Linked DNA regions of Arabidopsis thaliana. The protein of the gene in region 1 interacts with the protein of each later gene in a pairwise test. Each region holds a gene or a part of one and is shown on either strand. Other genes may lie near its edges. The genes, in order: HK5 and HP6.

Region 1 (7,280 bases):
GAGTCATTCATAACAACAATATATATGCCCCCAACTATTGACTACAATAAATCGACAACCAATTTGCAAGTTTTTTTTTTACTTAATCATATGCCACCACGACGTAATCCATGATGGGTTAGTCCAAGGAGGTAAAACTTTCGTGAGATGGTAAATTTCTCTAATAATCTTAAAGTAGTCATAATGTCAAACCCAACTTTGCACACACATGTATTATGTATATGAATATAATATAATAATGTACTAAGTAAATAATTAGGAAGAAAGCTGAAAAGTATGGTCCTGCTTTAATCGAGAATTAAACAAATCCGGTATTTAAGGATTGGTGTCCCCATCCAATTAATATCTCCACATTCTCGTCTTTTCGTCCAAAACTAAAAAAAAATAACAATATCCTTAATCTCCTTCACCACCGTCCATAATTTTTGGCGCGAGAGCAACAAAAAAAAAAAAACACGACAAACAGAAGAAACTTGTTTGAAAATGATTAGACCACGTGTTAGTCAACGGTAATTCCACGTGTAACATTGAGGCTGACGTGGAACATGTGACTAACCACATCACATGTTTCCTATTAGCCACTTACGGACGGGACAAAAGCCTCCGAGCGCCGTTCAGATCGGGACTTAAGACACCAAAAATGGCTTAGCTGTTTTCTTAAATTATTTTAATTTAAAGACCCTTTAATTTATTATTATTAGTTTTGATTATTGTGTGTACTATTACCACTAGTTGCTAATTTTTTAGTATTTAATTTATTGATATAGAAATGGGATTGATTTCAGACAACTAATTTTGTGCCAATACAGTTGTTGTCCGCTCCATTGAATTGTGAGGATTGGGTCTTATTCATTTTTTCTATTAGCTTTTCTCGTGTTTTTTTATGCGCAAGGTGTTCAAATTATTGATCATACTAGTTTGCAACTGAAATTGAAGCGTAGAATATAGTTTAAGATTTGGGTGATTAATACAAATATTATACTACTAGTTACGATACATTTATTTGTGGTACTACATGTGCTTTCTGCTATTCATGAAACAATGAATGTCCCGACCCAATTCGAATATTTGTGTACTTTCGTCAACATTGACATTCTATAGACTATATATTAGAACCACATGATTATACATTTTAAAAAAAAATCTTCTTTTTTCGTAATGAGTAGTAGTACAAAAGGCAAAAGAAATAAATCATGCATTCGTTACTTATTGACAACTAGAAATAACTATAATTATGTTTAGTTATTTTCATTATCGGATCATCAAATCATCTAATATATTTTTCCAAAAGCTTAACATTCTACAAAACTTTACAACACAAAAATTTATATATATGATTCAACTTAAAAATTCATGAGCTAAACAGAGTTGCTCTGTTTCGGAAAATCATTCTAATTACGTAGAATAAAACTCACTTATATAAATCTACTAATCAAAGAGTTGTCCAGTTTACTGATTAAGTAGCCAAATCATGAATTAATAGTGATCGTCGTCGAGCAAATTAAAATCCAAATCTATAACAATTATTGACGCCACTTCTAGTTACTCCTCAATAAAGGAAGTTGCTAATACTTAATTAAAAAATAGTGTGACTATCCTCAATATACTCGGAGCGTGACGTAAACGCGCCGCCTTATAGCTTCCGTCGTCAACTCTGTGAGGTATAAAAGACGTAAGGAAAAGCAGAGAAACTGGAGGAAAAAAAAGAACAGAGAGAAAGAGAGAAGAGTGAATTGTGAGACAGATCGAAACGTGTCAATCTGTGTGTCATTCGATAGTAACTCGGATTCGGTCTCAGAAAGAAAACAAACGTGCACACACAGAGCAGAGAGACAGAGTCGCCATTAAAATATGTCCAACTTAAAAATGTGAGAAAGAGAGAGAAGAGAAGAGAAGAGAAGAGATGAATATAATATACATTGACCTCTCTGTCTCATGAGCAAGCACATGTCCTCTCTCTCTCTCTCTTTCTCTTCTCCGTAAAAAAAATTACCAATCTTTCACAATTCATTCACATGCTCCTCTCTCTTTCTTCATTGGCTATTCTCTTCCCAATGCTCATTTGAAGTTTATTTACTCTACTCCCGACGACCACGACTCTTCTTCAGATCTACTCACTCCTTCTTTCTCTCCTTCTTCTTCTTCATTTTTCCGGTGACCGGAGTCGGAGAAGGTAAAGCTTCTGATCCCTTCCCCTTTCCTCCGGCATACTCGTTCCTCTGCTTTGTCTTTCGTTTTTTTCATTTCTTTCTGTTTCAGCCTTTTGCATCTCGAGACTTCATGATTACAATTTCTTTATGTTTCTCAATGCAAGATTTTCGTTTATAATATATGATCACTGATGTCAAGAATAAATCACCAAAGATTTTTTTCTTTCCATATATTTTTTCCGATCATCGCTCAAAAAAAAGTTTCATCGTTTAAATTTATTTTCAGATTTTATCGTTTATTGGTGAATTTTATGATCCTAGTTGATAATTCAATCTGAAAAAAGAAACTGATACAGTTTTCTTTTTGAAGCTCTGCAAATTTCTGATTTTTAAGCTCGAATCATATAATTTGAAGTTTCCCGCTAATGTTCAATCAGAATTGGTCCACACACTTAGTTGTTGTGGACCCTTTGCAAAATTCTATTTTAGTTCATTATTTTTCACATTTTACAGATCAAGATTCTCTGATGGAGATGGTTTGTCCTGACTCTAACCTCTGTGTTTGAAAATATCTATACAGGTTCTTTATTCAGATCAAGGTTCTGGCTTAAAGAAAAAAGTTGTTTGAATTTTGAGATTTGTCTGGTCCATTGTGTTGCTGTTGTTGTATGAAGAGAAACCTTGATCAATGGTCTGTGAAATGGAGACTGATCAGATTGAGGAAATGGATGTCGAAGTTTTGTCTTCGATGTGGCCCGAAGATGTTGGAACTGAAGCTGACAAACAGTTCAACGTCGAGAAACCTGCCGGAGATTTAGACACGTTGAAAGAAGTTACTATCGAGACACGGACCATTGCGGATATGACACGGTTACCAAACCTATTGAATTCGACTCATCAAGGCTCCTCTCAACTAACCAACCTTGTGAAACAATGGGAGTATATGCAAGACAACGCGGTTCGGCTGTTAAAAGAAGAGCTAAAAAATCTCGATAGACAGAGAGAAGAAGCCGAGGCTAAAGAGTTGAAGATCATTGAGGAGTATAAGTTTGAGAGCAACGAGCCTGAGAATGTTCCGGTTTTGGATGAGACGAGTGATTTGTTCCGCAGGTTTAGGCAGAAAAAACGAGATGCCTTGGTCGATAGCAAGAAGATTGAGATCTATGAGGAGTTTGACACTGTTGCATATTGGAAACAGAAGGCGTTGAGTCTTGAGAAAATGCTTGAGGCGAGTACTGAGAGAGAAAGGCGATTGATGGAGAAGCTGAGTGAGAGTTTGAAAACTATGGAGAGTCAGTCAGCACCGGTCCAAGAGCTTACTCAGAATCTTAAGAGAGCTGAAGGTTTCTTGCATTTCATACTTCAGAATGCACCTATTGTTATGGGCCATCAGGTAAAGTAAAAGGTGATTCTTGATCTTGTTTTCGATCTTTTCGACTTTTCTGATTCTTTGTTACTTATGAGTTTCAGGATAAAGATTTACGCTACTTGTTCATCTACAACAAGTATCCTAGTTTACGGGAACAGGTTAGAAGAAAACTTTTTCTTCTGTTGGATTTATTGAATCATTCTCTGAGGAAATGTGTTTAAATCAAAATCTGTTTCTTACTATATTTCAGGACATTTTGGGAAAAACAGACGTGGAGATATTCCATGGAGGTGGAGTTAAAGAATCTGAAGATTTCAAGAGAGAAGTTCTTGAGAAAGGAAAAGCTTCAAAGAGAGAGATCACATTTACTACAGATTTATTTGGATCAAAGACGTTTTTGATATATGTTGAGCCTGTTTACAACAAAGCTGGCGAGAAAATCGGTATAAACTACATGGGAATGGAAGTAACTGATCAGGTTAGTTAGCTAAAGATTTTTGAACTATTCTATAATCTATGTTCTCATTTTCACATCTTCACTGGATCTTCCTGTGTTACAGGTAGTGAAAAGGGAGAAAATGGCGAAACTTAGAGAAGATAACGCTGTGAGAAAGGCGATGGAATCAGAACTGAACAAGACTATTCACATTACAGGTTTGTTCAAGTTAAGCAGTGAAAGTTTTAGAAAGATTAATGAGAAAACTAGACTTAGGTGTTGTGTTTTTTCTTTTGCAGAGGAGACAATGAGAGCAAAGCAGATGCTAGCGACGATGTCTCATGAGATAAGGTCACCATTGTCAGGAGTAGTGGGAATGGCTGAGATACTTTCAACTACAAAACTGGATAAAGAGCAAAGACAGTTGTTGAATGTCATGATCTCTTCTGGTGATTTGGTGCTTCAGCTAATCAACGACATTCTTGATCTCTCCAAGGTTGAATCAGGTACAATATACTGTTTTCAAAGTTTTTGATCTTGTGGTGTGGTCATTGTTCAAATCCTCGATTACATATGTTATTTTTTGGTATTTGTGTGTTCTTTTTAGGTGTGATGAGATTAGAAGCTACAAAGTTTCGACCAAGAGAAGTAGTGAAGCATGTGCTACAGACAGCTGCAGCATCGCTGAAGAAATCTTTGACATTAGAAGGAAACATTGCAGATGATGTTCCTATTGAGGTTACTACACATTTCAGAAAGAGTTAAATGTGGCAAAAGTCTTTGTGATCTTAACTTTTTTTCCTTTAAATGTTTAGGTAGTTGGAGATGTTCTAAGGATTAGGCAGATCCTCACCAATTTGATAAGGTTCTTTACCTGATTCCTGTATTATTTGCATAATGACAAGTTTCGGTTCCTGATTTGTTCAAACGTTTTGCAGCAATGCTATCAAGTTTACACATGAAGGAAATGTAGGAATCAAACTCCAAGTGATATCAGAACCATCCTTTGTGCGGGATAACGCATTGAACGCAGACACCGAGGAACACGAACAAAACGGTTTGACCGAGACTTCAGTTTGGATTTGCTGTGACGTATGGGACACTGGAATTGGAATCCCAGGCAAGCAAGCAATTCTGACAAATGAACATGAAAAGACTAAAAAACTCCAACTAACCTATATATTAACCTGGTTCATGTTTTGGTGTTCTTGTGCAGAAAACGCTCTTCCATGTTTGTTCAAGAAGTACATGCAAGCAAGCGCTGATCATGCCCGAAAATACGGTGGGACTGGTCTCGGACTTGCTATTTGTAAACAGCTGGTAAGCTATTATTAGGATTTTACAACACTACAGAAGAAACTAATGAAGCTCGTTATCCTAATCTTTCTCTGTTTGTTTACAGGTTGAGTTAATGGGAGGCCAACTCACTGTGACAAGCCGGGTGAGCGAAGGTTCAACGTTCACATTTATATTACCCTACAAAGTTGGAAGATCAGATGATTATTCAGATGATCAAGATGAGTTCTCTGATATGGCGGATCAACAATCTGAACCAGACGATACAGCTGAAGGATATTTCCAGTTTAAACCGCTCTTAGGATCGATATATTCGAATGGCGGACCGGGGATCAGCAATGACTTCTTACCTCATAAAGTCATGCTTACTAGTCCTATTAAGCTCATCAATGGTTTTGTCGCTGATCCCTCTAATAACACTGGACAGAGCGAGATGCTACAGCTTGAAAACGGTGGTTACATGGATGAATCTAAACTCGAAACCAGTTCTGGTCATTGCCCTGAATCAGCTCACCAATATGAGAATGGAAATGGTCGATGTTTCTCTAAGGAATCTGAATCTTGTAGCAGTTCACAAGCTAGCTCAGAAGGTGGAACCTTAGAAATGGAGTCAGAGCTCACAGTTTCATCTCATAGGGAAGAGGAAAAAGCCGAGACAGAAGTAAAAGAAACATCAAAGCCAAAGATTTTGCTTGTGGAAGATAATAAGATCAACATCATGGTTGCAAAGTCGATGATGAAGCAGTTAGGCCATACCATGGATATTGCTAATAATGGAGTTGAAGCCATAACCGCGATTAATAGCTCTAGCTACGATCTGGTACTCATGGTATGTAAATTTTCTTAGCTCTAAGGACTTGTCCTTTTCAAATTCACTTATATTTGAAAAAGGCTTATAATTCATATTGGGTTCACAGGATGTGTGCATGCCGGTGCTCGATGGTTTAAAAGCTACAAGACTGATCCGTTCGTATGAAGAAACTGGGAACTGGAATGCTGCAATAGAAGCCGGAGTAGATATATCGACATCGGAGAATGAACAAGTTTGTATGCGTCCCACAAACCGGCTGCCTATAATCGCGGTCAGTACTTCTTTTTTGAATACTAAACACAGAGATCTAATGCATAACTTGAGAAAACTGATAGTCAGAATGCGTTGTGGAATGTGCAGATGACGGCAAATACTTTAGCAGAGAGTTCAGAAGAATGTTATGCAAATGGTATGGACTCGTTTATTTCGAAACCTGTAACGTTGCAAAAACTGAGAGAGTGTTTGCAACAGTATTTGCACTGAGATTTCAGATTTTTGTGTTTTGTAGATTAAGAAATGGTTGTGTTGTATATAAATTGTGTAGGAAAAAAGTTTTGGAGAGCTACTAAGTAGCTTCCTCTTTTTAGAGATGTATAGTTCAATAAATAAATAAAAGCTTCTCTTCTTTATTTATTTGTGGGAAATTTCTGGCGAGAGAAACAAGTAAACATTTTTGTTCCCACCATTCGAATCCAGCAGAGTACTAAAAGCAGCCAAGCTCTACAAAACGACATTGAGCATACTTAAGCTTTTCAAAACGGACTTATCTCGATTTCTGTTGGCTGTAACGTTGTATTCCATGGACATCCACAATCCCGGGAGGGAACACTGGATCTGTGGCTGCTCTAACTGCGACTTTTGCAACCGATTCAACATTCACCGGAGGTGTGAACAAAGGTCCGACTAATGGAAGCTGGTTCAGAGGTTTTGCTTGTTGAAGAACCTACATAAAGCCACAAACATTATGAGTAACGAGGTAATCTTGAGGGATATTGCTATAAAGAGAGGATCTCTTACCATCTCCATGGGTGAACCAAATACTCCTAACGGGATCTTCATGCTCCCAACACTGCGAGTTCCATATATAAAACCAGGTCGCAAGATTATACCTGCACAACATTCACCAAAACTTCAAATGTAAAAAACAAACGAGTTTCAGAGAGAGTTTTGTAGATGTACCACGAAACTTATACCTCCATATGCAAATCTTGTGAGCAG
Region 2 (3,531 bases), on another chromosome or scaffold:
ACTGAGAGGGTAGTGATTAATGAATAGGGTACTCGAGCACGGGGCGCAAAGAAGCATGACATACGAATGAGACAATTTCAGTTTTCGTATATAATAATTCCATAATCATAATTTAATCACTAGTTTTAATTGGTAACATAACCTTAAAAAAGCATCCACTCATTATGCGCTCCACTTTACTACTTACTCTGATAACATGAAAAAGTATATGTTTAATACTAGCTAGTTGTTTGTTCCGTTTCCAAGCACGCTCTTTCTTCTTTTCAGTCATTTTTAATCCGCATTTACAATAATATTTAGCTATTTTCATATATCATTCTATACTAGCTCACAATAATTACATATGAGCACGCTTTTTTGTGTTCAAATATTATAAATCTTCGTTAGTTACCGCTGCTTTTTATAATTATGTATACTTTCTGGTTCCAGGAGACTAATTAAGGAAGATTATTAGAGGCTTCTTATACGTGCCATATGATTATTTATTTATGTACTGTCATGGTTCATATATAGCGATGTGATACCAATATACCAATCACCAAAGTTATGAGAAAATCACGTAACCAGAGGTGTTGGTACATACATTTTCTGTTAAAAATAGTTAAGAGGACTTGTAATCTTTTGTGTTTAACTATTGATAATTTTTTACTTTATTCGGTGAAACAATTTACGCATGTTTCTGTGTTGTGCTTGTGTTTCTTGTATTCTTCTTGTGTATAGCTTTCCTTATAAGAAAGAAAAAGAAGAAGATTAATTGATTAGATCGAGAAAGAGAAAGGCCTTTTGAGATAGAAATGGAGAAAGGATGGATTGAATTTGAAGCATAGAGAATAGCGAACACTCACTGCAAAGTTAGTGGGAAAGTCGCGCGTCATACGAGGGAGCAACAAAGTGTGGGCTTTTCTTTTACAGTCTCAGAAACTAATGCATGCTCACATTTAAAAAAAAAAAAAAAAAAAACAATTCTTGTGTTAAATCAAGAGTGGATTAATTATGAGATAATCTAATGTACATTACTGTTATATGATTATAACTTGACAGACCAAATAATCATCTTAATCAGACCTGATAAAAGAAAAGAGATTAATTTCAACAGTGAGAAATTAAAGATAGAAAGTACATATTATTGGTGTAAAAGTTGTTGATTTAATTTAAGGCAGATGTATTAAGTTAAATATGTAAATGTAGAGGCTGCGGGAAGGGTGACCAGCTGGTCTGACAGGGTACGCCGGTTGTCGGGAGGAAGAACGCCGCTATTGGCAGAGTCACGCGGGGTAACCGGCTGGCGGCTGTAGCCGGTCACAGAGTGTATTAATATGGTCGTACAATACTTGTAGAGTGCTTTTTCCTGTGACGGTCCCGTTTATTCCCCACACCCTCCTCGATTCTTTCACTTAAAAGTGGGGGAAAAAGGTAACCTGACTCTTAGAAAATTTGAATACAATTGTGGGTCACCTCATCTCATGTAGTCATGTCTATACAATTATAAATACCTCTCAACAAACCCAAAATCGAATTATAAGCCTTCTCTAGCTAGAATTTGAAGCAAGACCTGTTCACATTAGTAAAAACAAATATATAGAAAGAGGAAAGATTGAAGCGGAAAACGGGACAAGACGGGTGTGCCGTTGTGGATGTTGGGGTTGGGTGTGGACCGGCTTCAAGCCGACATCAACCGGCTCCTAGCCTCTCTTTTCCACCAGGGAGTGCTGGACGAGCAGTTCTTGCAGCTTCAGCAGCTTCAAGATGAGACTTCACCAAACTTTGTGTATGATGTCATTAATATCTACTTTGATGAATCCGAGAAGTTACTCCGCAACCTTAGATTATTGTTGTGAGTTTCTTCCTTTGTTAATGTGTTCCATAGTTGTATGTTGTTTGGTTCCAAAATGTATACGTATATATATGTTATGAATGATGACGAATGTAAATAAATAAATGAACAGGATGGATAGAGAATTCTCGGACTATAAGAAAATAGGATTACACCTGAATCAGCTGGTGGGAAGCAGTTCAAGCATTGGTGCTCGTAGGGTTCGTAACGTCTGCGTTGCCTTTCGTTCTGCTTCCGAGCTTAGCAACCGCCCAGGGTACAAATTAAACGAGCTATATATATATATATATATATATATATATATATACTTCTTTGTATTAATATATAGGTCAATATTTAAGTCAATATAATGCTTCATAAATGTGACGATGCTTCAGGTGCTTGAGAGGACTGGAGGTAGTAGAGCATGAGTATCATTACCTCAAGAACATGATGCATGAACTCTTCCAGGTACTTACTTGTTTTGTTAATATATTACTCACATTCACACAAACAGAAGGCAAAAACGTGAGCTAAATATACACATATATATTGATAGTAATATATGTTAACAATTATGTGGGATTTAATATTTTGAGTGGTTGCAGCTGGAGCAGCAGAGAATATTAGCTGCAGGAGTCAGATATCCAATGTAAAATTAGAATTTTGTCATAAAAATCAGAGAAAACCTAATTAGTGTGTGATGATAGTGTGTTATAAGCTACCGAAGCGAAACCCTTTAGTTTCTTCTAATGATGTTTTGTTGTTAATCTCTCCATAAATTCGAGATACATTACCTTTTGTATTTTCAAGTGAGATTTACCCATGTCAAAAGTATCTTTACATGAACATAAAACATTTAGTACCCAAAAAAACAGAAAAAAGAAACTGGGCTATAAAATGACCGACAGAAACGGAAGAAAGTAGGCCCAATGTACGGCCCGTTCATCTCAAATAAATGATTTAGTTTTGTTTTTGTTTTTTTCATTTTAGCAAAGATAACGATTTCTGAGCAAAAAGAATTGGAAAATGATAGAATATAAAGCCGAAAAAATATTCTGTGTTTATTTTCAAAATCTTAGAATCATAAATGTGTCTCGAATGTAACCATTAACTGATTTTCTGGATTGTCCCAAAAAAAAAAAAACTGATTTTCTGGATAAAATTAGTAAAGAGAAGGGGACAGGTGGGTGTTGCTTACTCTAGTAGTCAGTCATGAGGAAAGTAATCTGAAAAAAACGAGTAAGGAATAGACACGTGTGGCTTCATCCCTAAGTATCCGTTTTTACTTAACTAATCAATGCACGACTTCCACGTCTCTCTTTTTTTTACTAGTATAAAACTCATTAAATGTGAGCGATACTTTGCTCGATCGAACAAGTCGTATCTATATAATCGAGAAAGAGGAAAAGATCTTTTAAACCCCAAAATAATCAATCAAGCAAATAAGCAATCAATCGGAGGAAGCAATGAATAATCTCCCAGAAGATTGCATCGCCAAGATCCTTTCCTTGACAACTCCTCTCGACGTTTGCCGTTTATCGGCGGTCTCCAGTATCTTCAGATCCGCCGCCGGCTCCGACGATGTCTGGAATCATTTCTTACCGGCTGATTTCCCCGCCGGCTTTGCGGCACCTGCTGGTCTTCCCACCAGGAAGCAACTCTTCTTCTCCCTCGTCGATAACCCTCTTCTTATCAACGGCACTCTTTTGGTAATT

Evidence for each region.
Region 2: the proteins of HK5 (region 1) and HP6 interact in a protein complementation assay, tested with the Arabidopsis thaliana proteins (one study listed by BioGRID).

The regions. Positions count from the first base shown.
Region 1 is NC_003076.8:3,383,997-3,391,276, forward strand, and holds HK5 (histidine kinase 5), read left to right. Parts: upstream 1-1,904; 5' UTR 1,905-2,173; intron 2,174-2,730; 5' UTR 2,731-2,838; coding exon 2,839-3,543; intron 3,544-3,620; coding exon 3,621-3,677; intron 3,678-3,769; coding exon 3,770-3,997; intron 3,998-4,079; coding exon 4,080-4,173; intron 4,174-4,254; coding exon 4,255-4,461; intron 4,462-4,562; coding exon 4,563-4,693; intron 4,694-4,770; coding exon 4,771-4,820; intron 4,821-4,893; coding exon 4,894-5,075; intron 5,076-5,171; coding exon 5,172-5,275; intron 5,276-5,357; coding exon 5,358-6,080; intron 6,081-6,168; coding exon 6,169-6,333; intron 6,334-6,422; coding exon 6,423-6,545; 3' UTR 6,546-6,690; downstream 6,691-7,280. Other genes in the region: AT5G10730 (NAD(P)-binding Rossmann-fold superfamily protein), read right to left, coding at 6,826-7,005, 7,080-7,171, 7,256-7,280. UniProt on the Arabidopsis thaliana protein: Functions as a histidine kinase and transmits the stress signal to a downstream MAPK cascade.
Region 2 is NC_003070.9:30,132,184-30,135,714, forward strand, and holds HP6 (histidine phosphotransfer protein 6), read left to right. Parts: upstream 1-1,534; 5' UTR 1,535-1,634; coding exon 1,635-1,834; intron 1,835-1,946; coding exon 1,947-2,090; intron 2,091-2,211; coding exon 2,212-2,350; 3' UTR 2,351-2,421; coding exon of another isoform or gene 2,422-2,469; 3' UTR 2,470-2,737; downstream 2,738-3,531. Other genes in the region: PP2-B11 (phloem protein 2-B11), read left to right, coding at 3,283-3,525. UniProt on the Arabidopsis thaliana protein: Functions as a two-component phosphorelay mediator between cytokinin sensor histidine kinases and response regulators (B-type ARRs). Plays an important role in propagating cytokinin signal transduction.